4 linked regions of the Struthio camelus genome follow. The protein of the gene in region 3 interacts with the protein of the main gene of each other region in a biochemical or structural test. Links are inferred from orthologs where the notes say so. Each region holds a gene or a part of one and is shown on either strand. Other genes may lie near its edges.

What was found.
Region 1: the proteins of UBE3A (region 3) and ESR1 form a complex in vitro, tested with the Homo sapiens proteins (2 studies listed by BioGRID, with this or other methods). The link is inferred for Struthio camelus from reciprocal best matches to the Homo sapiens genes UBE3A and ESR1.
Region 2: of the proteins of UBE3A (region 3) and FAF2, one has a biochemical effect on the other in vitro, tested with the Homo sapiens proteins (2 studies listed by BioGRID). The link is inferred for Struthio camelus from reciprocal best matches to the Homo sapiens genes UBE3A and FAF2.
Region 4: the proteins of UBE3A (region 3) and ubiquitin-conjugating enzyme E2 E1 form a complex in vitro, tested with the Homo sapiens proteins (2 studies listed by BioGRID). The link is inferred for Struthio camelus from reciprocal best matches to the Homo sapiens genes UBE3A and UBE2E1.

The regions. Positions count from the first base shown.
Region 1 is NC_090944.1:81,057,826-81,065,432, forward strand, and holds the start of ESR1 (estrogen receptor), read right to left. Parts: upstream 3,002-7,607; 5' UTR 2,905-3,001; coding exon 2,849-2,904; intron 1-2,848.
Region 2 is NC_090954.1:10,069,420-10,076,650, forward strand, and holds the start of FAF2 (FAS-associated factor 2), read right to left. Parts: upstream 3,003-7,231; 5' UTR 2,331-3,002; coding exon 2,268-2,330; intron 1-2,267. Other genes in the region: CLTB (clathrin light chain B), read left to right, coding at 3,409-3,700, 5,969-6,015. UniProt on the Homo sapiens protein: Plays an important role in endoplasmic reticulum-associated degradation (ERAD) that mediates ubiquitin-dependent degradation of misfolded endoplasmic reticulum proteins.
Region 3 is NC_090942.1:150,498,955-150,506,954, reverse strand, and holds the start of UBE3A (ubiquitin-protein ligase E3A), read right to left. Parts: upstream 3,004-8,000; 5' UTR 2,021-3,003; intron 1-2,020. UniProt on the Homo sapiens protein: E3 ubiquitin-protein ligase which accepts ubiquitin from an E2 ubiquitin-conjugating enzyme in the form of a thioester and transfers it to its substrates.
Region 4 is NC_090943.1:44,086,322-44,093,983, reverse strand, and holds the start of ubiquitin-conjugating enzyme E2 E1, read right to left. Parts: upstream 3,012-7,662; 5' UTR 2,991-3,011; coding exon 2,931-2,990; intron 2,769-2,930; exon of another isoform or gene 2,677-2,768; intron 1,786-2,676; coding exon 1,607-1,785; intron 1-1,606. UniProt on the Homo sapiens protein: Accepts ubiquitin from the E1 complex and catalyzes its covalent attachment to other proteins. Catalyzes the covalent attachment of ISG15 to other proteins. Mediates the selective degradation of short-lived and abnormal proteins.

The sequences.
Region 1 (7,607 bases), on a different chromosome or scaffold from region 3:
GCAAAATCTCTAGGCATATTAACTTTTATGAAATTAGGTATTTCCCACCTCTCATAATAAAATATAATAAGCAAACAAATTTTCCTCTAATTTTCAAAAGAGATAAGGGGAAAGAAAATGGAAATTTTCCCAGGGATCAAATACAGGAAATTTCAGCCCAAAAGGTAAAGGGTTCCTAAATGAACAGCAGCTGATGGAAAGATGTTATAGCAGATCTAAAGATCTAATAGCAAATCTTAATTAGAGCAGGCATCACAATTCCCAGCTAAACAATAGTGATACTACCCCACACAAGCCAAGGAATTAATAAGGAAAAACTACATTTTCTTGTTAACACAAGTCTTTCTCAGCTGAAACTTAAATCAAGATCAAATTTGATTACCTTGCCTTTTGTATTACTATCACAATTTATTTAATTTCATGTTAATTTTGTAGCTACTTCATGTTAAATAGTTTAGAGAAGTCGAGGGAAAACAGAACAGTAGTAACGAATTCTTTTCACTAATTGGAATGGGATCGCCATGAACAAGAAAAAAGAAAAGGGAAGATCAAGAGAGATGGAAAAGGTATAGACTATATGCTTGGTAGGAGAAATTAAGAGAAAAACAAAAGAGACTTTCCCTCGCTCTTCTACACTCCCTCTCTCGACTTTTCATTGAAATATGACCTCATGAAAACCCTGAACATGTTAGGGCGTGAGAGGAAGCTATCAGCAGATCACAGAAAGCATTTTGTTTGACAGAAAGCAAGTGGCTAGCATCAAGCATTCTAAACATGAAACTTTTACTATTTAAATAACATCAAAGAAATTTCAAAGTAAAAGCTGATTTTGTGTCAAACATCAAAACATTTTATCATGCAAATGACAAAGTAAAGTTCCTAATGTTTTGTAATGCTTTTTTCATGTCCTGGTTTTAAATGGAAAAATTTGGTGAAACACAGGTGAATTTGCTAAACGCTTTTTGAGAAGCCCAATTTTTTTCTGCCAGAAATTTAATCCTGCTCTAAATGTGCTAGCTAGCTAGTTCTAGATACAGTGTGATTGCAAATCAGGCTCAGAATTAAAGCATTTCCTACTACAGCATGCATACTATTCCAGTGTAATGTAACATAGCTTAGAATAATGTATTGTAGGAAGATGATACTTGCAGACGGTGATCCCCTGGTACAGTAGAAAATAAATAGAAACTATTCCAGCAATAAAGCATCAAATTAGTACTAAGGCACAAAACTCAGAGTCCGTATTTAGAAAAGGAAAATTGTCACTAGTCATTAGTATTGGCAGTCAGGTCTAAAGAAATTTCTGTTACTGCTATCATTATTTAACTTAGGCTCTCCAGGATCAATATTTTGAGGACAGGATGTATTTTCAATTAAAAACAGTCTGAGCCTCCAAAAATATTTGATTAAAATAAATACACCAATAAGTAGCATAACCTTCAACATACAGCCAAAAAAAAAAGCTTTCAATTTAATTATTTAGATTATCACAGAATTATGGCCATATATAAAACATTCCTTTAGCTATTTACTAGCTGTGCAGGAGTCACCACCTCCTTTTCTTTCTTTCCTAGCGTTGCAGGCAGTGCTTATCAGCTCAGCCACCAGGACACACAGTAGGACAGGCCTTTGGTCTCATCTGTGTGGGTCCTGGCAATGGTCCTGCTGAGGCCAGATCCTGTGTCTCCTTCACCAGCATGGAGGCAGGTACTGCCTCTCCCACTTTGCATCCAAACCCTTTTCAGATGTATTATTTTTATATTACAGAAAGTGAGAGTTAAGGGGGAAGGGAAGGGCCCCAGAAAAAGAATGAGAGAATCCATGGGAAAAAAGTGATACATAGGTTTGCCATGGAGCAACTGAATAAGCAGTGGAAAAGAAGAGCTTTCCTACCTCTAGCTTACCTCTCCTTCCAAAACTTTATTCACATTTGTTGAATTTAAATTCGGCTGATATCGGTTAATAATAAATAAGTTTAGCTGATATTTGGCTGGTTTTGCCACTCCCTAATTACATCCTCTTCAAAAGGACAGGATGAATTCTAGCATACACTCACGCACATATATGCAAGACATAGACTAATTCTACCACTTGCACATACACACCCACAAGTGCCTATGTGAGTATTTTTTGTATATACAAAAGCCCCATGAACATTTTGGTTCACTTTGCTGTTGTCTCTGTTCCAAGTCTTGTTTTATGCTCCTTCTCCAGGGGAAAAAACAAAACAAAACAAAACAACAACCCACTCCTCCAGCCGCCCATAGTGATTCCTCTGACTTCTGTGAGGAGAATTGTAAGAGAGAACCATCACCCAGAAATACAGCTGAGGCAAGAACCCTTCTCCTCCATGGGATGAGGAGTCACATGGGCATGAGCCAGGAACCAGTAAACATCAGGATTTATGAATCTTCAGAAGTAATGTGTTGCTCACTTCATCTATACCACATCTGTTCAGTAGTACAGGCTACCAAGAAAATAAATAATAAAGCTCAAAATCTCTACCTTGATCTTCCAGAGGCTCATTACTCTGAGTCCTGGATATCAAACAACATCTAAATCTTTTGGACACAGGTGAAAAAAAGTTAAATTGCGCACGAGACCAAGTTATTTTGTAGCCAATCCAAGACCGCAGAATGAGCTGCTAAGTAGGAATTCGCTCTTCACTGCTTAGGCCAAAACCCTATTTATAATGATCAGATCCGGACAGTATACTGGCAGTCAGATGATGCCATGAAAATATTTCTACCATATCCTTCCTCCTGACAGACCGAAGCTATCATAGCTACTGAAGCTATGAAGATTAGACAAAATTGACTGCCTATAGCTGAGCTTCCCCTACACGCACCTGACTGCCTGCTTCCCAAGAAGCAGGCTTCCGGCTGAACACAAGTGATGTGTCATGCTGTGCTGATCCTTGCATCACCTCGAGCCACCAGTGGAAGCAGCGCTGGAGAGCAAATCATGCCCTCCACACGTAGAGGAAAAACGACCACCAGGTAGAAAGTGTGTCAGGACATGCTGGGTCAGACAGCCATCTGCCTCACCCTACAGGCTGCCTCCAACACTGTCTGAAAGCAGATGTCTAGGGAAGAGTAAGAACAGGCAAGTGTATGAGTCACTTCTCCCAGTACTCACCCAACCTCCAACTATTTCCTGTTACGGAGACTTCCTGAGCCAGATGCAACTTCTGCAAACCATGTATGGGGTCATGTGTATGCCACTGAGAAGGTTATTTGAGGAAAAAGGAGCAAGGACCTCCCTCTCAGGTCAGTACACTGTATTTTCAGTAAACACACTCTTGAAAAAAATTACATAAAGCCAAAACCTGTGGCAATAAAGCAATACAAAGGATAAATAAAACAAGGATCTTCTGTCCTGTTCTCAGCCATACTTCTTAGAATGATTTAGCACTATCCATCAGCAAACTTATCCTTAACCACATTCTTTATATTTTAATATCCCTTTAAACCATTTTTTTAGACATTAGTATATTCTGTTTCTTTCTAAATTCTAGGGAGCCCTCATCCAACTTATGAACTTCTCCCCAGTAAAAATCTGAGCAGAAAAAAACAGATTTTTTTATGAGTCTTCAAAAAAATCAACAGGAACGTATTGACAAATTTATAAGGAGAGGCAGTTTGATTTCTAAATCCATGTGAAGGAAGCAGTCACTGCAATGAAACAATGAATGCTTCTTTAACATTCAAGCCAAGAACATTCCTTGAATCTTCTGCCCTAAGTAGGCATCACTTCCTGGAAGAGAAGCAAACTTTGTTGTTGATTTGAACTCGTGTCTGAAATAACGATGAACCGAAGGAAAAAAAAAAAAAGTGCATTAAGCTTATAACAAGTAGTTGTAACCTACTAATAAGTTAATTCACGCTACATGAACAGAACAGCCCCTTTGTTCTGGCTGGTTTCACATCTCTGTCCCAGCAACAATCTGACTAGGTTACTGAGTGATAAACTGATGCAATGCCGCACAATTCTGGCAAATTTACTCAATCAGCAGCACCTGTGACATACTTATCTAGATACAACAATCTATCAGAGGTAGTTAATCCTTTGATAGGGTGCCACTTTGACCATAACTCTGTCCTTTCATTCAAATCTTTGGGGAAAAATGTTAGTTATCTGCTTTTAGCACCTAGCCCTGTACCAGAATTGCCTCAAGTCTTCTCAGAAACACAGGCGATGGAGCTCTGCAGACTCAAGGGTAAGCATGTCGGCTGGGGTGCAGGGGAAGGGAGAGGAAACAAAAGAGGCAAGACAAAGAGAGAGGGGTTGAGGTAGATCCTTAAAAAGCTAAACCTGCCTCTCCTTGACTGCCAACATAGCAAGGTGGGCCTGGTGAGCACTGGCTGCAAACTCTTTCTCCAGCAACAACCTCTGGCCACCCCTGGGGGGAACAGTGGCAGTGGCAGCAGCAGCAGTAGCAGCAGCAACTCTCCTGCCTTTCCAGAGCTCTAGCACCAGCAAAATAAGCAGTGCCATCCACGCTTGCCCACACAAGTCTGCACTGAAATCTAATGGCTAAATTCTACCTAAAAAGTAGAAAAGGCCTAAAAGTTAAATCATAATAAAACTAAGAAAAAGGAGAAAAGGGAACTGTTAAGGGTGCCCTAACTGGGAATGTAGTAAATCTATAAAGTGTGCCCTTCCTGGCTGAAGTCCAGCGCAGAGACGAGGGACTGCAGTAACTGGGACACATACACAGAGCTCCTGCTTTGTTTTAGACAAACTGTTACTCTACAGATAGCAAGCTGCCAAACTTTATGGTCAAACTTTATGAGCTGTCAAACTTGTTACATAAAGAATTCGGAAATACTGTATTTGAAATCTTAGTCAGTATAGCTGTAATGGGCTCTTTCTCTAATACTATAATAATTTATATACCGCATGGGCCAAAGAGCTAAATCAAGAGCAAGATGAATGTATCTCAGCAAGCAGAGGTTCTTATGCTCTGTTTCCCTTCCAGCATATTTCTTACCTCAGACTGCTACTTCAAACAAAGTCCTCATTCTTCCTGTTCCCAATCATTTTTTTTCCCCAAAACTTCCGTTCTACATGATTGCCAGTCCCAAATATCCACAAATTAGGTCTTATTCGAAAAAAGTTATGATCTGGTTTGGTTTGATTTGGGTTTTTAACCTTATCATCACTTTTTTGTTACCTTTTGGATAAAATTTTCCAAATTTTCTCTGCATCTGTGAAGAGTAGAAGCTCACAAAAAAGAGAGAGAGAGAGAGAGAGGAGAGTGATGTAATCACATAACTCTGACTTTTTTTTACTAAAAAGTGCCCATATTGCATAATCTGCAATACAAGCACGAGCGCATTCTCCATGCCTGTCACTTGCCAGATGTCCACCCTCGAGGACCTCCTCCCCACAGCATCTCCTTCTCCAGCCCGTTCCCGCTTCCCAAACGTCACGTCTGAAGCCCATTTGCTGTCCCCAACCTCTTGGGGCCCCTTGTTGGCCCTGGATGGCATTGCCAGATCCTCCCTGCCCTCTGCCACCCCTGGCCCCCAGCATGGCCAAGGATGAGGCCTTTCCTGGGGGCACTAACAAAGTGCGAGATTGTTGCCACCACACGAACCTGACCGGGATGAGTGTTGGCTGGCTGCAGCACAAGGTTGTCCGGTCCGCTCTGTCCTCCCCCTGGGGCCCCGCGGCTCTGTGCCCCACGGCTCCGTGCCGCCTTCCCGCCGCTGCAGGCGCGGGCTGGGCCTGGTCCTGCCACCTGCCACACACCCGGCTCAGGCCACACTCCACCATCTGTCTTCTGGTTTTGCTCTGCTTGCCATCTTCTGTCTGTGGAGCCTCTATGCCCCAGGGCACCTCTGAGCAGCTGGCCCAGGGCAATTGTACCCAGGATGCCCACCAGAAGCTGGCTCTGAATTAATATGGACTGGATGGGAGGCAGGGAGGAGGCCCGCAAGCCTCAAATCCTACAGTAGAGCCCTGGGGGCTCTACTGGCCTTACCGGCCCTGCATGGCCTCCCAGGCCTGCCCTCACCCCAGCCCCAGGCCCAGGAGCCCATTTAGCTCAGCCAGGGGCCGTCAGTCCATGCCACAGCAGCTGTAGGTTTGTCTGTCTCAAGCCCAGCCTCTGGCCCTGCCTCCTGGATGGGCACCTCGCAGCCGACCTGTAGCCTTGTCTCCAGCCCCGTCCCAGCCCTGTCTCCCTTTGCTCCTGACTGGACCTTGGATCTGGCCAACCCCCTCGCTGAGCCTGGGGCTGTCTCCAGACCCTGCTGGCAGCATCCAGCTCTGCTTGCCCTGTTTTGAGTGCTGCAGGGCGCACTCCTGGGCGAGGGCACGGCTGCGCTGGGGTCACCATCAGGTCCCGGCTCCCTGCCCTTCGGGAGCAGCCAGCCCTCACTACACCTAGACATCTGTATCCTGGTCAGGTGAAAATCTAGAGGAGAGCTGCTGTATCCTGGCTGCTTCCTGCGTGCACCCATTGCTACCTCTCAAGCTTTTCATAACTTCAGCTTCTGGAGATTTCCAGTCTTGATACTTCACTGCCTGTGCTTCAGGGTGCTCCTTGCAAAGGCCTGGTGGTAAATCCACTCCTAATTTTTTGTTTGTCATATGTAGGAGTGATCTTTTCGTCCCTAAGACTAATGTTCTGGGGGGAAACCTTTGTGTGATATTTAAGACAATGAAGAAAAGAGATAGATGCCAGATACAGACATGCAGACTGACAAACAGATAGACTGATCGGGAAACTAGTGAAAGTACAAGACCATTCTCGCTGCTGAACCATTCAGGCAACCGCTGTCACATTTTGATTAATATCACAGAGGAGAGGGAATTTCAAGGCAGGCTCCAAAGCCTCCAAAGAGTACCCCAAAGAGTAATTTTTTGGATATCATTGAGAAGAAGGAATTCCTCCTGTGTGGGAGGGACTCCTCAAGTTGGGGAAGAAAACACAAAACATCATCTGGTTTGAAAATCTAATAAGTAAGCGGTACAGTCTAGTATCACAGCCTGGTTAAAATTAGGGATTAAGATTCAAAGTTAAACTGCACATGCCAGTCAGCATGGATGTCCAAACCAACACTGACGTCCAGGCCAGAGCAACATGAAGGATGAGAGCTTTGTCCACAGTGATCAAAAAAGGAAGTAAGAGAGCACGGAGAAGGAAGAGGAAACAGAAGAAGAATAAAAGATGATGAAACGAGTTCTGTTTTAGTTCTGTTTAATCTGAGCTGATGGTCAAACACCCATGAGAAATATGCCAAGATTGGATAAAACCTGAAAGGAGAAAAAGCTGAAGTATAAAAAATCAGTGCTCCTCCCCTTCCTTCCACTCTTACCAGGATTACTGGAATATAGTTAGAAAGAGGAAATAATTAATAGTCTGTAGAGCAAAGTGCAGAAAATTACTTTAAAAAAAAAGGAGAAAAAACATGGAACTGAAGACTTCAGAGGAAAGCCTGTGGGTTACTGCCAGAATTAAGGACATGTTTTGTTTGTTTATCCAAATGTGCAATAAAAGACATCCTAGATCTGTTATTAATTGGAGATGATAAAATTGTTAGTCGGGAAGAAGGGAACAACTCAGAGTAAAAAAAGCACTTTGATGTGCTCACATT
Region 2 (7,231 bases), on a different chromosome or scaffold from region 3:
CCTAATCTATTCTCCCACTTTATTTACATTGTAGTGGTATGACTTCTGTGGAAACACAATGCTTTGTGGCTGCAGAATATTGCAAAAATTACTTTTTATGATGGTGTGTCACAATGAAAGCGTAAAGCAACCTTAGAAAGCATACAAGAAGCGCCCCCTGCCAAGAGGGTGAGAATCCCTGGAAGGTTTGCAGTTTTCCAACTGTAAGTGTGCTCTGCAACAATAGCAATGTACAGATGACTTTAGCAAGACATAAGTCTTCTCCAAGCGCATGCTATTTAAAAGAATCCAGAGTTTCTCAGAGAGCTAAAGGAAACAAAAGCTGTTCCAGATGGACTGATTTACTCTCGTTCCAGCACAACAAGCAGGACCGCATGCCCGAGCCCTTCCAGCCAGGTATAAAGATAACACAGGAGATGGACATCACCAGTGAAGTAGGTCCTTAGCACAACCCTGGTGAAATGCTAATCCTGTGTACCCTAGGCTGTACATGAATGAGAGGATCCTGGTATTGAAGCCTTCTAGATTCTCTCTTTCATATCAAGCTCTGGACAACAGCTGTCTTAACCTTAAAGCTTCTCCCTTTTTCTAAGGGACTTCTTCCTCTGCCCTCTCCCTCCATTTCAAACTAGAGCTCACAAGAAAGCTGGACTAACACATACAGCCCTCCTTTTGAGTCCTTCTCCCTCCTTTCTCAGGAGCCTCCAGCGCCCTAGCCTGCTACTCACAGCAGTAACAGAGGTAGCATTAGGAAACAGACACAATTCCATACAGTTTCACTGCTGCCCACAGGGCTTTGAAAATAGCAGCAGTGAAACTAATAAGTGCAGCTGATCCTATCTATCCAGATTCAGCAGATGACTAAGTACTGCGATATCTAACATTGAGGAAAATAGACCCAAAAGTCGATTTTTACATATACGTTAGCAATAATATGCAGCACAAGTCAGCGTCTTGAAGCTCACACACTTACCAGGAAAACAGTAGCACTGGGAAAGAAATTGTTAAAGCTATTCATGAACATTTGACTGTAAATTAAAACTGCCCAATCAGCTTAATTTGCAGTATACATTCAGATGTCGTATCAGCAAGAAGTCAACCATGGAGAAACGCTGCAGTGTATTACTTCAGGAGATGGTTGAATCCCCTTGTTCAGAGGTGTCAAATAGAAAGGCTAGGCAAATATCTGTCTGAAATGACCTAGCTCAGTAGTAGGAGGCAGGACTGGATGCTTTTGAAATACCTCTAAGCTCTGTAATTCTACAGTTATATTGCATCAAAAAAAGCAAAGCATGTTCTTAAGATAAACTGAACATGAAGGAACAAAAATTAAACAAAACTCTTGAAAGAAAAGATTACTTTTGTTGCAGGAAAAAAAAGTCCAAGAAAGTCTCTGCAATGCCCTACAATTCAAAAACAAACCCAAGACACCTGACCACAATTTTCATTCATCAGTAATAGTTTAATTACCTTTCACCGAGCAGCCCAAAGTATTTCAACTCTGACTGCAGCACACTTTTCTAATAAGAAAAATCTGCATTTTTTTTTAAATTATCTGACTGCTGCACAGCCCCATGGACTTGGCAAACCAAAGGTTACGTCACCCAGCCCATGCTATGCAGCAGATAGCAAGATTAGATCATTACTAGCCCCAGTGGCCTTCCCCCAACAGCTATTACCCAACCTTGAGGGTTAGGAACAATTTTGTGAGAAACCGCATTGTATAGAAACCCGCTGGCCAGTCCTCCTCACATAACAGGAAGGGTTTTCCTTTCACCAGTAACAACAAGGGGAATTTTTCACACTAGATAATTAAAATGGCTGGAACAGACCGAGAAGTTTCCCCTACGCAGAGGTAATGGGGTTTATTCACCAGTCGCTTCCTGCCTTCCGAATTAACGTTGACAGGCACCATTCCTCATGAAATGCCAGGAGCACGCAGAGCGCCGACTGACCCTCAGCGAGGCGGGCGGCGGCCCGGGGCAGCCCGAGCAGTGCCAGCCCCGCACCGGCGGGACCCCCACGCCAGTGGGGGCCGTGCCCTACCAGGAAGCGGCCCCCTCGCCCCCACCCGGGCCAGACCTACAGGACTCTCCTCCCCCGCCCCTCTCCCACACGGGCCCGCTCCGGGCGGGGCCTGCAGCGGCTCTCCGGGCGCCCCGTGCCCCCCGGCCCGCGGCAGGCCAGCAGGACCCCAGCCCCGCAGGCTAGCCCAGCCGCCCCGCCGCTGCCTCCCGGCGCGGCCCGGTGCCCCCCCGGCGCGGCACCTGGAACTGCAGCAGCTTCTCGGTCTGCTCCGCCGTCAGCTCCCGCTCCTCAGGCGCCGCCATCTTCCTGCCGCCTCTGACCCGCCGCTCCGTCACTCTCCGGAAGTGACGTCGCCCACCAGCACTTCCGCCCCGGCTCTCCTGGCACGCGCGCCCGCGCAGGCGCGACTGGCGAGCCAACGGCCGCTTACTCGGCCACAGCCGGAAATACTCGGCCGCGTTCCGGAGATGGCCGAAACGCTCTCGGAGACCGCCGGAGATGCCCGAACCGCGTCCGAAGGGCTCGCAGGCCCGACCCGCTCGGGCGCTCCCGATTGGCACACGAAGAGTTCCGAAAGCCGCTCGGGCATTTCCGGACACGGCCGAGGGCGGCGGCCGCCTCAGGCCTGCTCCGTGGCTGTGCCCAGGGCTGGCGGCCGCGGGTCGCCGGGGGAGGCGGGGGGACCGTGGCAGAACTCGCAGGCCGGAGCCCACGCGGCGCTGGCTTGTCGGCCAGTCACCGAGGTGGTCCCGCAGCCGCCGGCGGGTGTTGTCCAAGCACCTCCAGTTCTCTGAGGACCCCCACCCACAGGCAACGGCCCCACCCAAGATGGCGGACGAGGGGGGGGTCCCCAGCCAAGATGGCGGAGGCGGAGGGCGCCCTCTGCGCCGTCCCGCCAGCTCCAGGGCCGCGGTGGAGCCCGGCCCCGCGTTCAAAATGAAAAGGGCTAAAAGCGAGCACGTGGCTAGGGCCGATGCAGCCACGGGCGGCGGGGGGGGGGGGAGTGGGGCGACCCGGAGAGCCCGCGCCCCAGTGCCCGGCCGTAGGGGCCGCGCCGGGACCGCGTCAGGCTCGCGGGGGCTCCGGCAGCGGCCGGGGCAGCACCGCGACAAGGTGGTGGCAGGCGGATAAGGAGCAGGACGCGGGGCACCAGGGCCCCGCTTGGGCAGGGCGCCCGGCGGCGGTGGGGGGGGGGGGTGGTGTGCCGTTTGCCGGGCACATGGGGCGCCCCCGCCTGCGTGTGCCCACACGGCGGCCGGAGGGAAACCCGCCGGTGGGGCAGCAGGGCAGCCCGGCTCTCCCTGCGCCGGGGGGTGCCGGGCTGGGGGCCCCGCGGGCCCGGTGCGCGGGCGCGGCCCCGCCTGGCCCGCCCCGCCGCTGATGTCAGGCGGCGCCGCCCCCCCCCCCCGCCGCCGCCGCCGCAGTGACAGCTACGCCCGGGCCCAGTCGGGCCGCGCCGCGCCTGCAGCCGCAGCGGGAGCGCGGGGGGGCGCCATGGCCGACGACTTCGGCTTCTTCTCCTCGTCCGAGGGCGCCGCCGCCGAGGAGGACCCGGCCGCCGACTTCCTGGCCCAGCAGGAGAGCGCGATCGCGGGCATCGAGAACGACGAGGGCTTCGGGCCGACCGACGGCGAAGGGGCCCCGGCCTCGGCCCCGGCCCCGCCGGAACCGGGTGAGCGCCGCGCCGGGGGCCGCGGGGTCCTCCCGGCTGCACTGCCGGCGGGGGCGCGCCTCCGGGCTGCGGTCCTCAAGGCAGGAGGATCCGGCCCTGGGCTGCTCCCCCGAAGGCCCCGAGGGGAGGGTTCCCCCCGGGCTGCACCCCTCATGGATGTAAAGGAGGATCCGTCCCTGGGCTGCCCCACTGAGGGCACAGAGGGGATCCCCACAGGCTGCTCCCTGAAGGAGAAGGGGTGGGGGGGCACCCCCCTCCCCGATCTGCACTCCCATGGGCACAGAGTGGGGTCAGTCCCGGGCTGCACCCCTGGTGGTTGCTGATTTGGGGTCCCCTGCAGGCTGCACGGTACCCTCAGTGGGTGATGGGAACCCCCCGTGTGCTGGGTCTGTGCTGCACTCCCAGTGGGCAGGCAGTGGGGACCCCCCTGTGCCCCACATCTGCATCCCCGTCATGATTCTCCGGGGGGCTGTGCTTGGCTCCCCAGGGCTTGGGGTTCCCTCTCCTTGAACCTCAGGTTTTGGCATGACCCTTGAGCTTGGGCTTGCCTGCTGTGGAATGATTCTTTCTTTGTATGGTCAGGCTAGGTTCCCCAGGCTGGACACCCTCCCTTTCCCCCACGTCTCAGTCCCTCTGGCTGGAGCAGGGTGAAGGGGATCCAGGTGGGATTAGGGGACAGTGAGCCATCCATATGGGGCTGGGCAGCCCCTTCACTGGCCCAAAGACCGGAGAGTGCTTTGGCATGCAAAATGGAAGGCATTTCCAGCGGGGACATCAGTGTCTCAGCCCCTGGAGGTATAAGGTGCTAATCCGGATCTCATGCCTCCATTTGGGCCCCACTGCTGCCACAGTCCTCTTGGCTCCTTCCCCTGGCAGGCCTGCAGGGCCCTCCCGTGCTGGCTGCGGGGTGGTGTTTCACCACCCCAGAAGCAGGGCCATGGAGCCGGTTCTGGAGCCCAGAGAGGCGTTGGCAGCTGTGGCAGTAAATGCAGTCAGACAGGCTGAAGCTGGGTGTAGCCGGAGCTGTAGGACCAGTGCTATAGGGAGAGTGCTTGTCTGAGCTGCTCCAGAGCTGTGCTGTCACTGTGTGGCTGTCTGTGCCCCTGGCTGGCCTGGCCCTCGTTGATGAGAGCTCAGGGCCTGGAGTCTGCCTCCTGCGAAGCCTCTTCTCTGCACAGCAACAGAGAGCCCCCATGGGGCTGGTCTTGTGGCCCTGGTGTGCAGCTCTCAGGAAGTTCTCTGGTGCTGGGAAGGAGGTGGGGATGTACTGCAGCCATGGGCATCAGCAGTGCCTCGTTCCCAACCCCAGGGAATTGCGTGCATTCCCCAGACAGGTTCTTGAGGACCTCGGTATGCGTGCCTGCCCTCCTCCTTGCTCGCAGAGTGCACTGCAGTGTCTCTGTGGGCTCCGTTCCTGGCAGGTTTGCCTTCCTGTCACAGGCTCAAAACAGCTCTGCCTTTGCTGGCTGGAGATTGCTGGAGACTCAGCTGACAGCTGTGGGGTCACCAGTCCATGTCCACAGGCATCCTCTGCCTGGCCATTTGCAGGTTCAGATTTGCTCAGGTTGTCTCGGTGCAGTCAAAGTATCTATCTTTGTCCAGTCCCGTGCCTTAAACAGTCACCCTAATCTCCAGATAAGATAAAACACCAGTGAAAACACCATAAAGACATAAATGCTCAGGGAGATTCCTCTAGGAAGGAGAGGTGCTGGCTGAATTCCACCAGGGACAGGAGACCACTGGACGCAGCCCTGAGCCCTCTCACGGGTGGAAGGAGACCCCAGGTACCATACAGCAGCAGCGCAGGGAGGGTTTGCTGGGTTATTGGCTCTGGACACCAGTGCAGACAGTGCACTTCCCCTTCCCCTTGCTGGCATCAGTAGGCAGTGTGGGGCGAGGGTACTGGGGCCTGGGGCAGGCAGGGTGGGCTGTGCTGCCATGCTCTGCTCTGTTTTGGAAAGGGGGGGATTTGGGGCCCTGTTGGGAGCAGGCAGAGCCGATTGGGCTGGGAACGTGACGTCCTCTGAACGCAGAGACCTTGCTGGCTTCTGTTTGAGCTCTGATGTGGCTCAGCTGGTGTCCATTGTTCTGGCCAGCCTGGAGGTCTTCCGTCTCTGCCTCATGTATGGAGGGCTGTTGTGGATTGGTGTGCTGGGTTGGAAACAGCAAAGTCACGTCCTTCTTGAACCGACTTGCCGCTGGTTCATGAACACCAGCCCCTGTGGGGTCACCTGCAGCTGCCATAGCTGTTTTTCTCTTCCTCTCTAGCTGGTTTCCAGAATGGAGGAGCCACTGTCAATGGAGATGTCTTTCAGGTGAGAGCTCAGCCCCTTGCCCTGGCTGGTGTTGCCAAGGGAGATTAGGTGGGTACGGGGCCAGCACTCCGGTGCCCTGTCTGCAGGATTGGTTGGACTTTGCTGTCCAGCCTGGAACAGCTGTGGTGCTCCTGGGAAAATCTGGGTCTCATGTGAGGGAGTTCTGACTGCTCTGTTCTCACCTCTGTGTGAAAGTCTTGTCCCCCCTACCATGGCCCAGGGCTGGGAGTTAGAAGTTTTGGGACTGGCAGAACCAGCCTGATCCTCTTCCAACTGTGCCCCAACTTGCTCCAAATCTGTTTGCAGGTGGGCTGTGCCCTGAAGGAGTGCCTGGATCCTAAGAGCAGATGAAAAGCCTGGAGAAATCCTCCATTCTCCAAAGGCCCCCTCTCTCTAGCCTGGCTCCTGGAGGCCTCTAGGGCAGTAGGGAACATCTCTTGGCAGAGTCTGGAGACAGGACAGGGTTGCTGTGGGGAACCCCCTTTGCTGGTGCACGGCAGTGGTCTTGCTATAGAGCCCCGGCAGCATCTCTCCTTAAACCCGCATGCCTCATGGCTAAGGGTGTGTCAGGGGGCCTCCTGCCTGGGTCTCAGCCCCTTCTGGGAGCCCCAAGCCCTGCTGCGGTGGCGACAGGGGAAGCAGTGCCAGAAGCTGACGAGCTTTTCGTTCCACTCGCTACCAAGTGCTGTGGCATGTGCATTGCCCGTGCTTAGTTTATGGGATGATAATCACATCAGAGATGGGACAGACTTAATTAGATTTGGGGATCTTGGAGGAGAGCTGTAATCCCATCCCTGAGCTTAGAGTGGGGCTGGGCATCCTGACCAGCAGTAGGGGTTAGGAGAGATGCTGATGTGGGCAGAGCAGGATGCTGGGCTTGGCGGGAGCTATAGAGGGCAGCTTGCTCCGAGGAGCGAGGGAGGTTTTGCCTGCAGGCGGGTCTCCAGGCAGAGTGGTGCCTCCCTTGGGCCCTGCTGCTCGCCTGGGCTCTTTCAGTCTGCGGTGGCCAAACTGCCAGACCTGTGATGATGCTAATTCTTGGGGTTGCCCTACCTCTCCTGCCTCTGCCCCGAGTCAGAGCTGTGAAAGCCCAGCGCTGTGACCTCACAGTGAGGCCATGTGGTTGTGGGCACGATGTCACAAAGCTACCTGGCCATTCTCTGCCGTGGGGCGCGCAAAGAACGTGGGCGTCATGTTCGCAGCGAGCAGCCAGCCA
Region 3 (8,000 bases):
ACCACTAAAGAAAACAAACAAATCAAACCATTTATTCTGCCATCTAGAAAGGGAACTTGATGCTTTTATTTCCAAATACTGGGGAGACATTCAGGATACTCCAGTGAGGAAGAATATCAAACAACTCTAGTAAACAGAGTTGTTAATGCAGTGTCTTTCATATAGGAATTAAACAGTAAACACTAAGAGTGGAATAGAATGTGTTTCCAAAAGAGAGATGGAATATCTGTAATAATGTAATTAAGTGATTTTGATTAAAGGTATTTTTCAGTCCTTTGAATGTAAATAGTGTTACAGTTTTTCTTCCAAGATTTGTCTATACTGACTTGACAGACCATTGCTGTTATGAGGACAGCAGTATCATAAGCACTGTTAGGAACAGCCAAACTGCATCTGTTTTAAAAGGCAAACTACATGAGGAAAACTATCAAACATCCACAGCAATTTGATAATGCATGCTTCCTATGTTCAAGTCAACACAATAATTGCACTCTTTAAACTTTAACAGTATTTTCAGAAGAAAAAACGTGCCTTTATTTGTTTCCAAGATGAAAGGGCATAGAGTATTTAATGCAACAGTACTGAGCTACTCTAACACCACCCAAAACATGTGATCAAGATCTTCTTAATCAGCACAATAAGTATTCCGTGAGAATTGTAAAGCCCATCTTCCAGCAGTTTTCATTCTTACCAAGAGGTATCCCTTACCACCTCCACCCTTCTTCCACCCAGTTAAAGGTGTCTTAACACTATAGTTAGAAACTCCTTGCCAAGGGAGAAGCAGTTAACTGGATGCTATTTGCATGAAACTTTTAGAAACTCCATCTTATCTTTCACACTTCTCCCTTTCAAACTGGTAAACCAGTTAAACTATTAGATAAGCTGGCAATACAATCACATAGGTCCTACTTTCTTAGGAAATCAAAGCTACAATCAGGCATAATTTCTCAATGAAGAACTAACTTTTTGGTACACATGCAAAAGGCTGTGTACCAGGCTAGTTTGACAAGCTGATTCTCACAGAACCCCAGGTTTACACCGAATCCTACTGAGGTACAACAGTTTCCTTACAGATACAGTGGGAGCATCTCAGAAGTAACACATGAGACAGGCTTCATCCCAAAACCAGAACTCAGGACAGCTCTTACACAGGAAGAAACATAACAATCATTCCCATTCATTTGAACACTCTAGGAAGACAGCAAACATGACTACAAGTTTACAGATTACATGTTCTTGCCACTTGAAGGACAGTCGTGGAACATATTTTGTTTCCCAAGCAGTATTAACTTCCAAATAGCCATGTCACATCATCTTTACAAAGGGACTGAGAACCCATGCACTTCCTTTAGAAGAAATAGAGCAGATACACTAAAAACCGAAGTCCAACGAGTCCTACCGTCAGGACCGACAGATCCCACCTATAAGCAAAGTGGCTTGCTCACACCTTAGGAGATCCAACTCTTCACACAGGATAAAAGGTAGTATGAGCAAGAGAGCACGTCTATTTTGTTGAGCAAGCCCTGCCCGTTCGTTATGAACCCCAGCAGTACCGCACGAACCTCTACCTCCCCAACTGGCACAGCTGGCCATGTCAGAGACACCAAAGCTCTCCATCCCCACAGCAGCCCGGCAGAGCAGGCAGCGCCGCCGCTCCGTTCCGCCACGCCGGAAAACGGAGGCAATGGCAGGCTGGGTTCACCCAAGGTCTCCCAGGAAGACCAGGGCGCAGCAAGCCCAGCTCCCCTGGGCGGACGGTCTGAAGCCCCGAGCCGCCCGCCCGCCCGCCCGGCCTTCCCGCTGCCGGGGACGGACGGGACAGCCCGTACCCATGTGCCTCGCAGGCAGGGAAGGACGGCACCACGGCAGCCGCCCGCGCCTCCCCGCCGCCCCCCTCCCCCTCGCGGCCGGGGGCAGCCTCCCTCGCCGGCGGGCCGGGGCGAGGCGAGCCGAGGCGGGCGCTGTCCCGTCCCCCCCCCCCACCTTCCCCCGGGCCGGACGCTGCGCAGCGCCTACCGACCTGGGCGCCGCGGCCTGCTGCTCCCGGTCACTCCCGCCGACGCTGCCGCCCGGGTTCATGCGGGGGCCGCGCCGCGCTCGGGGCCGGGCCACAGGCGAAGAGGAGGAGGAGGCGCCGCCGCCGCTGCTGCTGCTGCCGGTGGAGCCGTTGGGGCCCCCGGAGCGGAGGAGACCGGACCGCGGCCTCGGCGGGGAGGGGAAAGGAGAAGCGAGCGGCCTGGTGAGGCTGGTGGCGCGCAGGGGGGGCAGGAGGGCGGGCCGGGCCCGCGGGGTGCGCCTTCTCTCGCTGACTCGCTCGCTCTCAGCCCGAGCCCCGCGCCACCATCTTGGGAGCAACGCGGATATCGGCGCGGCGCAAGCTCGGAGGACTCGCGGCGGGTTGGGGGGGGTGGGGGGGAGGACAAGGGAGGAGGACCCACTGTGTCCCGGCGTGCAACGCGAGCGGAGGGGCGGGCAGACGAGGCGGCTGCGGCACGCTACCCACCGCGCGAAACCATAGAGTCTCCGAGCCGGCTTCCTCCTGCCTTTTTCAGTCGGGGCACCCGGCGGAAGGGAGGCAGGGCAGCGCGTGCGTGCCTGGTGCGAGAGGCGAGGGCCGCCATGTTGGAAGAGGGCAGCGAAGGGGCGGGGCGCACGCTCCGGCCCTATGGAGCGGAGTGGTGGCGCGCGCCCAGCTCGCGGCGGCAGCGGGGGGGTGGGGTGGAGGTCGGAGTCGCGCATGCGCAGCGGCTGTTCTTCTTCTTCTTCTTCTTCTTCTTCTTCTTCTTCTTCTTCTTCTTCTTCTTCTTCTCCTCCTCCTCCTCCTCCTCCTCCTCCTCCTCCTCCTCCTCCTCCTCCTCCTCCCCCCCCCTCCGGGGGGGCGATCCCGAGTGGGGTGGGGTGGGGTGGGGGAGGGGTGGAGCTTCCTGGTGCGAGGGAGACGTGCGGCCGTTGGCGGAGGGGCGCGCGGGCTGGGCGCAACGGTCTGCGCGGCCCCGCGGCCGCTCTGGGCAGCCGGGCGCAGCCGTTATACCCGCGCACGCCCCCTCCCCTCCTTCGGAACAGCCCTTACGCACACATACACGCCTGCACGTAGACATACACCCCTGTAGACGTGCGGACGTTCACAGCTAGACGTACACGGGCACCTACGAGCACATGTAAGCGCACCCATACATGTACATAACGTCGACATGCACGTTTTTGCCTACTCGTTTACACACGTGCACTCCCACTTATGCATACCTATACACATCCACACATATACACACAACACATACACGCACGCATGTACCTTTATATATGTGCACGCATGCACATTCATACATACCTATATGCACACACACATATACACCTATAGCAACATACATACACACGTGCACACAGGCTGAGGGGTGGTGATATAACAAGGCACATTGCTGCTATAGCCAAAAGTGCAGCCACCGCCTCATAATTTCTCAGTGAGTTCTCCACCGAGGACTTCCACAGCTGAATCCCGTCACAGTGATCTGATCTATCTTCACGCCAGGAGCTCCGGGGCAATGGGTTTGCTGTCTTTTATCAAGTTTAATCTGGGCAGAGTGCCAGCGCCAGCAAGCAGAAGCGTGCAGGAAGAGGAACGGCCTGTGACCTTTGGAAGCAAGTCAGCAGAAGAGCCATATGTTGCTGCTGTCACTAGGCAAAGCGCATCAGGACAGGCAGAGCCCAGACTGGGCAAGGCAGCCGTGCAACTCTCCCTGCACTGCAACCAGCATTAGGGAAAGGAAGGGGAGAGTGAGGACTGGATTATTCATTTCTTGAAGTGAAGAAGTGTAGCGAGGGTCTTGCTGCCTTTGCCCGTGGTGATGGGTGGAAGGGCACAGCGCCGGTGTATATCCAGGTTACCAAAGCCTAATGTTATTCAAACCGTTGATGATTTCACTCTTGAATCACTGAGGTTTTAGTTGCAACGTAGCTTATACGTGTAAATACATAACTATGAAAAAAAATGGGAGGCACAGGGCGCAAAACTGCTTCATGCATATAACGGGGAAGAAGGAGTAAGTAGAAAGGAAAAGAAAAGGAAAACAGATCTGAATCTTCTTTACGTAGTCCCTTAATAAGGGAAATTGAATGGAGGTCGTTTTACCCTAGAAAACAGTATAGATTTTTTTAAAAGTCTAATCTAGAGTCAGGGGGGACGCTCTTAAAATGTCAGAATAAGATGTTAAAATCATAAAAAATAAGTCCTCAAAGGCCTGATACTGAAACCAATTATGTGCTCTGGGCCAGGAAATGTGTGTTTAAGATCTGTAAGAATCTTAACAATTCGTCTCTGAATATGTGAGAATTCTTAAGAAGACATTGATACATTACAATCTTTAGCACAATTTTGAAAAACCTATCATGTATGTTACAGGGCAATAGCTGCTAAGGTCAATGGACTTAAAACTATGTAATTACAAATCTGTGCATGCAGTACTAGTACTCTCAGAGAATATGGTGGGCAGACATATTTGAAATATTAAGACTAAATGAAATACCATACTTCAGTGTGGTGTCGAAGCGAGGTACACTGCCGGGCTATGCTCCGATGGACATTAACCCCGGACATGCATCTAAAAATAGTTATTTAAATGAGCACATTTAAATGAGGTTGTATCTGGAGGCTCTCTCCCACACGGTAGCCAACCTGCCAACTTTGATATATTAAAATTTCAGATTTAAGGCAAAGTTTATTCTGCCTTGAGCCTTTCTGTCACCTCAGAAATAATAATATGCAGAAACTGTATGTCTGGAAGATGCAGGTCTCTTCCTACTTTTCCCTTGCTCTGTTGCAGACCCGACATGTCCAGTCCTTATCTCCTGTTCGGCTATAAGGATGCTGTGGGGAATCATGCCACAGGCCTTGCTAAAGCCCTGGTGAGCAACATCTTCTGGTCTCCCCTTGTGCACAGAGCAAGTCATCTCATCACAGAAGGCAATATGGTTGGTCAGGGCTGACTTGCTTTCACTAAATTCATGCTGGCTGTTCCTTGTCACCTTCTTGTTCTTATGGAGTCTGGCAATAGCCTCCCAGGCTTTGAGGTGAAGTTAATCAGCCTGAAGTTCCCTAGATCATTTCCTTTCTCTGGTCATCGGGGAGCTCCCATAAACACCACAACCTTTCAGAGGTGATAGAAAGTGGCCTTGCAATGGTGTTGGCCAGCTCTCTTTGCACACTTGGGAGAGCTAGCCCACCTGATCTGGTGAACTTGTATATCTCCAGTTTATCTAAGTAGTCTCTAATTTCATCCTCCTCTTCAGTGAGTAGCACCTTTCTCCCCCAAACTACTACCAGATGTAGAGGGACCTGGGAGCCCCTGGAGGACACCTCGCCGATAAAGATGGCACTGACACAGCCTTTTCCATGTCCTGTGTCACTATATGCTCTCTCCCACTGAGCAACAACCCAATTTCCTTGGTCCTCCTTTTGCCGCTAATGTACTACAGGTGTCCTTATTTTTATCCTTCACATTCCTTACCAGCTTCAATTCCAGCCTAGCTTTGACCTTCGTAATTTTATCCCTGCATTTTTAGGTGATACTCCTAAAGTCCTTGCTAGAGTCTACTCCAGTTACTGGTTGTATGGAAGCTTTTTGCGTAACTTTGATAAATACCTTTGATCATCTTTACAGTCACATGCATCCTTATAGCACAAAGAACAAGAACTGCTCAAAATATCCAAGACAAGGACACCATGGATATACATAATCATGGTCTTTTCCCGTGCTCTTTCTTTTCTAGTAGTTCCTGACAGTTGAGTTAGCCTTTTTTTTTTTTTGGCCCCTGCACAGCATCAAATGGATTTTTTTTTTTCCCTGGAACTATTGATTCCAGGATCTTGTCCCTGACTGGTAATGGTCAGCTCATGGCCCATCACTGTTATGAGGTAATATTGCTTGTAAATGTCACAGGTTTTCCTCTGAAAAAACAGGAGAAACATCTCTGAATCCACATATGTAAATATGAGGAACCTGCAGATGAAAGCAGATGGAGAAAAAATGCAGGACTGGATCCAGCTGATGTGGATGATGAAGATGGAGGAATGTGTGTATTGTACTGACTGGATCCAGAGACAGGGGAAGGAGAGTTCTCTGAGTAAGATAACCCATGGGTTTGAAAAGACTCAACCTTGCTTCTGTTTTGAGGAGCTGGGGATAACACTCTTGGCTGTGGATATGGGAAGAATGATACATTAAGGAATATACCCCGAGCAAATTGCTGTGTAGCAGTAGTGCATGGCTGACCAAGCCGTGTGATGAATTCGCTTTAATTCTTCCAGGATTATTCCAAGCTGTTGTTGAGGAGACACTGAATCACTTTTAGGTTTTGTATTGTATGTTTGCAGCTTTTTTGGAACTGGAGTAGCTTGGCTTGCCGTAGATTAAGCATGGCCATTGGTGTGCCTAAGTTGTTTCCATTACAGAGGGGATAATCGTACTTTCCTGCTTCATGTAAGTACTTTACATATTCTAAAGTGCTCAGATATTATGGGATATAAATGCTTTTGCTGCCTTGAGTGCTTTCAGCTACTTTGTGCTGGTATAACCAGCTGCTAGAAGGCAACTGGATCTGCTCAGTTGAGCAATCTCTGAATTTGGAGAAATCTGATTGGAATTCCCTGTGGAAAAGCCACCACTCCCTGCTTCCTCGCTAATCCCTACCGCAGCTCTAGGGCATGGGTGTGAATTGCAATTGAGGAGAACGAGTGGTTAGCCTGTACTCTGCAGTGATAATCTCCATAAAACAGGCTCCAGTGAGATGCTTCAGTTATGTGATTGAAGTAATCCTGGGTTAAAAAAAATCAACAATTATAATTGATAACTCGATCACTAAGTAGAAGCCCTGAAGAAAAGCTCGTCTTTGCATCTGAACATTTGGAAACGAGTGTCCTTTTCCAGCTGCTGAAGGGGAACAGACACAAATTGCTTCTTATACACAAGTTACATGTAATAGACAATGGTTTCAGAGGGAGGAAAAGCACATTGAAAATAGAATTCCCAGCCTAATTCACAATTTACTTGTAATGCTGGAGAAATGCCATAGTGAACCAAGTCTCTGGCATATGAATTTCAGTAGCTGTTGATGTCTCATTTCAGAGCTTTGCAGAAGAAAATAGTTTTCTCTAGAGATGTCTTAGTAAATGTATGCAGAACACTGCACGTCTTGTCCTCATTTCATGTGAAAAACCCCAATAGAAAGGACTTGATAATACTTTTTTCTATTGATTTCAAAGAATTATCAGAGTGAAAATTAGATCTTGAAGTTCTGTAAATGTAACCCCTTAGGTGACAGGTATCTTTTCATGAACAATCTTACCTTAGCTTATCCTTTTTAAACAGAAAGAGTACACTAAAGTGGCATGAGCCTTTGGGAGCCAAATGCTTCAGGTTGCTGATAGCTGAACCCTTTATGGCTCCCTTTGCAGATAAAACAATGAGGAAGAGGAAAAGATCATCAGTAATATAATGAAACCTTGAGGGTCTCAGTTAGAGCTCAAACTCGGTGATGGGGAGATAAAAAATCCCTCTAGTGACTAGGTGGTGATTATGGGAATGTAGGTTGTTACTGAGGTAGGGAACGGTGGTCGGTCTTCTTTTTTAGAAAATTGGAGGTGAGGATGACACTTTTGGCTCAGATCTACTCGTTTTTGATGCAGACAGGGAGACTTGAGCTCTTAAGGGAGTCCCTGCGGTTTTCATGGCAGCCACCTATAGCGGACTGCAAGTCAGTTGGCTTAACACAGGATAGGCCTTGGCTTAAGCAGAAGATGAAGCTAGGACAATGTGGTGGAGGCTGCTTGGCCAGGACTTGACAGGCAAGCAAGATGCTGTGAGGGTGACCACTGAATGCAGTAGAAGCAGGTTGCACTTGAAGTGAACATCACTTTCAGCCTTTTCTCCCATTCTTGCCGTGATGCATTATGAGGAGGAGTTAACTAGTTTAAAGTCTTTGGTAATGTGCCCCCTAAAATCTTAGAG
Region 4 (7,662 bases), on a different chromosome or scaffold from region 3:
CTTTCCTCACCTCCAAAAAACCATACAACAACCATGTTCCTTCCCTCAAGACTTCAGCCGCTCCTCTCTTCACCACATTCAGACAACACCCTGCCCTCCCTCACCAGCCTATTCTGGGCTCACATAGCATCACACTGCTTTTGCCACAAAACGCCCAACCAGCTATCATCCCCTTCCCTGGAGTCCCATTACTGTCACTCAAGCTTCCCCTCCAAATTTCCCCACCCAGCACTCAGTCTGCCTCTCTTCCCCTTTAAACTCAACCAGCATCTTCTGCCTCTCTTCTAGCTGTCACACGCAATAAGAACCCTAGTCTTTTTGTATTAGACACTTCACAATTAGCAGGCTTTTAAAACTATCTTATTTTCAAAATAGCTAAGGGAACCACATGTAAACACCACTTGCCACTATCTATACAAGTTTCCCAAGGAAACATGCTGAATGGAGATGTGGAATAACCAAACTGCCTAAATTCTACAAAGCCACAGAGAACTCTTAGTTGTGATGGCAGAGCATTTGCATAAAACCCCAGTCATTTTTGACATCTACAGATATAACCTTTCTGTGCTGCTTGACAAAGCTTTTCAGTGAGACAGACTGTTAACTCTTATTGAAATACTGAAAGTTTGCTTGAGAACTTCATTTGCCAGCTTAGCTTTCTGGAACAGGATGGTGCTAAATTGCACCACAGAGTAAATAAGAAAGGGCAATAACGTTTTAACTGAATGACTCCAACAGTCTGTCCAGGTGAAGAAAACTGACTGATGTAGCTGTTCTGGAATTACTACTATGCAGGCATTCTATGCAGGCATCTCTCCCCAATATAGACATTATTCTGGAATAAAAGTAATATTTTCCCCTCAAGAAAGCCATCTTGCCTTGTAAGAAAAAAACATTTTGGAACAGAATGTCCGCAGGGGGACGTGTTGTGGATTATTTATTCTAGTCAATGTACAGCTATACAGAAAAAAATTAATACAAGTGATGAGCAGATAGGAAAATAGTAATGTATTTGGTGGAAAAGATTTGGCACTATACTACACCACTTGCACTCATCTACACTTTCTTTCATTAAGAGAACTCAAAATTCTTCACAAACATTAATTAATCCTCAGAGTAGTTCTGGAACTAAAAAGCCATTATATATCAACCCCTTTCTACAGAGAGGGAAACTGATATAGAAATTAAATATGCTACTCAAGACCACATAGCTTCCAGTAGCAGAAAAGGAATTAAGCTCCCAAACGTCATTCCTAAAACATCCCTATATCCAATGTTATTAAGGAAAAGGGAGAAGACAGTGAAAATAATTGGAGGATAGAAAAACAGCCTGGAGAAAAAGAAAGAAAAATATTTGGGATGGAATGGAAGAAGAAGCAAGGAGAGAGATCACAGAACAGCAATGTCAGGCAGACACTCCTTACTGCACAGAGATGCTGAAAAAAGTGAGATGATGGCAGCTTTCTGTGGAAAGGTTGAACATAAGTGCTAGAGATGAGGAATGGGAGCAACAAGGGAGCAGCAAGAAAAAGGAGCAAAAGAAAATGAGGAAGGAGAAAAGATAGAGTGAAGTAGTAAAAAAAAAAAAATCTAGCTGCAGCCTCACCTCTTGGCACTGGTAGATAGCAGCTTAGAGTTTTTACTCATGCTGACTTTGCTTTCCTTCTTCTTAGGTGTGCTTGCCTCTTTCTCTGTCTGTTGGTTGGAGGATGAAGATGAGGAGGAGCTGGTGCTGGCCCTTGAATCGTCATCCGACATAGCGACCCCCCCACCACACACCCCAACCTGGAGAGGAGACACCATGGGGCGTGGGGAACAAACAGTGAACACAAACACACACAGAGAAAGGCAGCTGACAATCTTGCTCTGTGTCTGGGTCATGTTCCTTTTAAAGGGTCCTCTTGTCTCCCTCGCCTCTTCAGGTCCTACAGTCCAAGCAGGAGGAGCAGTAGCCTCCCCTGCACTAGCAACACTGAGGAGGAAGGGACTTTTAAAGGGACTCTCAGAAAGCAAACGAGGAGTAAGAGGAGAAGGGACTGGACTGCAAGGATCAGGGAAGCCCAAAGCAGTTCCTTTTAATCTTCCCTGAAACTGCACACACAAGAAGAGCCATCACCACCCACCACTATCCAGCCTAGGGGTGCAGGAAATAAAAACAGAGCAGCTTCGATCTCTTGCGTCCCCTGCAAGCACGCGGGGAAGGTGGGAAGGGACAAGAAGGACACTGCTGCCAGCACTAAAATAAAAGTGGGGCATCACCAGCAACAGGGGGACACCCCAAAGGAGGATCTGTAACCTGCAGGGGAAGAAACCTGTGCCTGCTGGATCTGGTGTCAGGAGCATGTGGGGAGAGGGGGGAAGGGTGGGAGAAAAAAAAAAAGGAACAGCTAAATAGGGGCTGGAGTACGCAGAGGGGACCCACTGAGGCCCAGGGCACCGGGGGGGCACGCCAGCAAAGGGGAAAGGGAGCAAAGGGTCTGTGCTGGTGGGGGAGGAGAGCAGAAGGGCCAGGGCCTACAAGGGGTGAGAGCAGAGGGCCTGGGGAGGGCCGGGGGAGGCAGGGGGCAGCGAGGAGAGCAGCGGGGCGAGGACAGCCGGGTCCGGAGGGCACCTCGGTGCCCCCGGGGGACAGGGCCGGAGGGCGAGCGCGGCGGGCGGCCGAAAGCAGGTCCCTACCCGAGAGGGGGCACAAAGTGCTGGGGCAGGGAGGTGCGCCGGCGCCTCGGGAGCGTGTGCGGGCAGAGGGGGCAGCTGCGGGGCCGGCGGCCGAGCCGCGGCCGGGCGCGGGGGGGGGGGGGGGGCGGCACACGGGCCGACCCGGGCGGCGGCGGGGAGGGAGCCGGCGGCCGGGGGCTGCTGCCGCCGCGCTGCCCCCCCGGCCGCGGGCCCCGCAGGGCCGGGCAGCGCCGGGGCCGGGGGGACAGCGGTACCTGACAGCCCCGGGCAGGATCCCTCTGGCCCGCCGCCTGCCTGCCTGCCTCCCTGCCCATCGCCGGGCCAGCCCCTGCCCCCGGGGGCCGGCCGGGCCGGCGGGGAGGGCAGCGGGGGGTCCCCCGTGCCCCTACCTCTCCCTTTGTGTCTGGCTGCTCCTCCTCGGTGCGGCTGGGCCTGGCCACTCGTGTCTCTCTCGCTGGGAGAGAAGCGGAAGTGCTGCAACAGCAACTATTAAACAGGCAATGGCTTCCCTGGCTGCCTTCCCCCCCAACACCGAGCGGGGGCTCGGTGGGCGGCGGGGGGGGGGCGCGATCCGCCGCGGCCTCGCACGGAGCCGGGTCGGGCCGGGCCGGGCCGAGGGGGAACCGAGCGGCGGCGGCGGCGGCCGAGCCCCGGCTCCGGGGCTGGCGGGGGGATCCCAGCAGCCGCAACCCCCCCGCCGCGATGGAGGAAAGGGGCAATGGAGGGGGGCAGGGACGTGAGTTTGTAATGGAGACCCCCTGGAAAGTAATCTGCGAAGGTGTGAAGGGGGGGTGAGGAATAAACACCCTCCCCCCCCCGCCCCCGGCTGTGCTTTCTGCTTCAGGGCGAAAGCCCCAAGGGGACAAGCTCGAGGCAGGTGGCAGGGAGAGGGGACAAGCTCCTGGTGCTGCTTTTTTAAGGCTGAGAGACGATTATCAGGGTGTGTGGGGGGGGGAGGCTGGTTGTTTTCCCCTTGTTCTTGCAACTGTTTCAGCCCCAAAGCTTCTCCCTTTCCTCATCTGCTTTGTCCCTCCAGCAGCAGCAGCAACTTCTCACCTGTCTCAGTTGGAAAGCAATAAAAAAGAGAAAGAAAGAAAGAAAGAAAGAAAGAAGCCCAGTCCAAACCCCCCACCACAACCAAGCCAAAAAGGATCCCCTCAGCAGCTTTTCCACCTCTCACCTGTTCCAGCCCTAAAGCAGCAGCTGTTTCTTCCCTTCCCTCTCCTGGATCAGCCCTGGATCAACAGCAGGAGCAGCCGCTTCCCACTTGCCTTCGCCCGGAGTTCAGGATTCCATTGTCCCCCACACTGCACTTGGTGACATCACTGACACACAAAGAAGGGGCACTTCGTGATGTCATCAACGCATGCTGGGAGAGAAAACAAAATCCTGGGCTCGGGGCTTGGCAGCCACAGAAAAGAAAAAACGCTGCTTCGGTTTTCCCAAGGTAGAAGTAATAGGGATTTTTTCTTTTTTTCATTTTTTTTTTTAAGTCCCCAAATTGGGAGCCCGTGTGCATGACGGGCGCTGCATTCAGTCGACTGGAGTGCTGTTGTACTGGATTTTCGAGGCTTTTTACTCTTCTCCCCCAAATCTTTGCTGTCGCTCGCTCACTCTCTGCCCACGAAGCGAAAAAAAAGTAATTTGGCAAGAGTGACCCACCATACCTACCACATGTTCAGAAGAACAGTACACTCGGTCACCTTTCCCTGTAGTCCTTGTAGGTTGCCATAGCTCTTAATTGAAGTGCTGGACCTATTCCTGAAGGGACAATAGGAATGAGCATTCCTATCGACTTTTCCGGGATAAATTTGGCTCAGTGCCATCAGTTTCCATAGCATATCAAGAGATCACATATCGAATTACTTGATATCTTTAGTGGCCGAAAATATAATGACCATCTCCACCGTCCAGCATCGTAATGAATAGGGCTTCGTATTTGTCATCGTTCTTTCGGTTTCCAGGACCTCCAAAGTGATCTGCAGGCTGAAATGCGCGATATTCGGACAAAAGCACGGCCAGCGACATGACGACGTCACGCCTCAGGAGTCTAAGGGGTTACATTATATAACCGTAGCCCGCAGGGCACGGAGGGACACCGCGACCCCCCCCCGCGCGGCGTGGGGCGAGGGACACCTCTGGTTAGAGCCCCTCCGGGCGGGGGGGGGGAGAGGAAGGAGGAAGGGAGCCGGGCGCTGACTACTTTTGAAAACCCAGCCTTCCCGTCTCGGGCTTTCACCGCATGACCCCGGCTGGGTGACACGGTGCTGCCCGCCCAGCCCGGGGACAGCGCCGCGGTCGCCGGCTCCGGGCCCCGCCGGCAGGGAGGTGCTGCACCCTGCCCCCTCGCGTCAAGATGGCCCCAGCGGGCGGCGGCCGTTAACGGGGCAGCGCGCGGCGGGGGGGGCGACCGTTGGGCGCCCTGAGGAGCCCCCCGCGCTGTGGGTCCCCCTGCCGCCCGGCTTGTCGGAGCCCCCCATGGCAAGGTGCCTCCTCGGGGTGCTGCCCTCAGGCTCCCCCGAGACCCAGCCCTCCAGCCCTCCGCTCGCCGGCACGGGCATCCCGCCTCGTTGAGCCTGCGGCGTTAACACAAAGTTGAAATGGCCGGGGCAGCTCTGCTGCGGGGGCTGCCCTAGGACGCCCTGGTGGGGCGGGCGATGTGAAGCTGACCCTGGCGGTGGACCTCTTCTGGGGCACCTGCTCCTTTTGCGAGGTCACAGACTTGAACGGGGATGAAAACCTAAATGTTGGGTTGGGTCAGATGCAGAACGCCCGTGGCTTCTTTTGGGGGCACTTTGGGGGATTTTCCTCAAGAAAAGGGGTGTTGGGCCAGCTGAAAGCACAGCTGCCTGGGGCTGTTGAGCCCCTCCTCCACGAGGCCGTGGCTTCACAGGTTTGTAACTAATCATTGTGGTCGTGACACTGACCTTTCACCATTTCAATCCAGTGATCCTTGGGTCAGAGGCGCCCCTGGAAGGGACACCCACGTGAGGACAGTGTTTCCTTTTGTCACCTTTCCCTCCATTTCCTTGGTACAGTGCATGTGCTGTTTCCCTCTCCACTTTCTCTTTCCCCTCTCTCTTTCTGCACCACTCAGCAGCACCTCATTTCACGTGGGTTTCCCAAAGCTTCTCCCCAAACTTGCTGCCCACTCTCCTGTGTAGTTAAATAGCACAGTATATTAGGAGGATACACCAATGACATTGTAAGAGTCCTTTCTGACAAAATAAGGAATTCCACTACAATTTCACATTTCCTGTTGTTGTTGTTTTTTGCTAACCCTCCTCTTCAGTCTTTGTTACCTGCAGTACGTAGACCGTGGTGAATTGGCCTCCAGAAGCAGCTTGCTAGCAGAGCCCACCTTTCTACTTTCAACTATGGGAACAAAGCTTTTGAACTCGTGGTCATCCTTCCTCCCAATAACTTTGGAGCTTTGGCATATCTGCCATTAAACAAAGGCCTCAAAGGCAAATAAATTTCATGAAAACTGGCATTTAGATAAAGGAGGGAGAGCTGTATCACTTAGTGCTCCTCACTGAAGGGGGGGGGGGCGCAGAATTCAGCTACTTTATATCCAACAGCAATCAGCCAGCCTGTCAGCATTCTCCAAACTAGCCTGTGAAGGCAGTGGAGGATGGAACTGGGAATGTAGTGGTACGTATCAAGCAAACGCAGGAGACAAGAGGACACAAAGCAGGTGATCAGGCTTCACAAAGTTCACTGCTTATGGAACAAATTTTTAAAAACAGAAATTCTTCACTTTCACTAAAAACAAACCTCCAGTCCATTCCTGTCATCACAGGAAACATGCACCAAAGTCAAATGAGACAACAGATTAATAATGAAAGCCCTCCACTTCTGTAATAGAGGGCAGAGAAAATGCAAAGATTATTACAAAATCCCACACACATTTTTTCCTTTTTTTATGTTAATAACCTTCATAGGGGGTTATCAATAAACTAACCTTTTGTTGCAGCACACAGTCGTGGGTAACCCTGTTCACAGTAAAATGATGACCAGCAGCAGTGGTTATTTACTTTGAAGCTTACCTAAAAATGCATTCTCTGAAAGCACCTACTAATGTCATTACTTGAGCAGCTGTTACAGGGGCAACTTCCATTTCATGACTCACCTCAGAGATCAGCCAACGTGCTGTTCTCTTGACTGCAGCCAAGAAGCCAACTAATGTGCCATCCACTCTCCAGAAGCATTTTTGCGGCTTGCCTTGCTCCAGCCCATGATTGTCCTCTCAGTCCTGCGTGGACACTGAAGAACCGGAAAAGAGTCGAGGACATGGTCCTTACTCCAGAAAAAAAGGAAGACTAGCTCCCCTAATCCAACCTCTTTCCATCTTGGGAATTTTGACAAAACCTCACTGATTGCCTGCTGCCTTTTTTTTTTTTTTTTTTGGTAAAGTGTGCGTTCACTTTAGCAAGTGACCTTTCCTTCTCAACAGTCCCCCCCCCCCCCTTTTCTTTGTCAAGTTCTGCAAAGGACTTGCAAAGGAAAACTGACCCAGATTACTCAGTCTCCCTGTGCCCCAAGTTTTTTTAATCCATGGCACTAGCTCAGTGTAGCAACTGAATAGGATTAGTCAATTTTCCCTCTGGATTAAATTTGGAGGAGGCTGCAAGGCTAGATGACTAGAATCGAGTTGCCTTTGGGGCTTTGAGCTTAATTCACGGCAGAAGCTAGCCAATTCAAATCACACTGAGCCTGCTGTTAAAGGAAGGTGACTAGGATTAGTCCCTTTGTACTATCTCAACTCCAGATACATTCTCAGCATTATTGCTGGCTGGTCTGTTTGGGCCTGAGCCAAAGCCCCTTACATCTCTGTGAGCCTCTCCACCAGCTCCAGTGAGTTTTGCATCAGGCCTTTTGTGAAGAGCAGAAAAGAAACAATCACCTGTTTGGGTCTCCTAAAGTCAGCTCGCTGCTAATGTCACGCTCGCAAGCAGGAATGCCTGAAACAAACTGATACCTCGC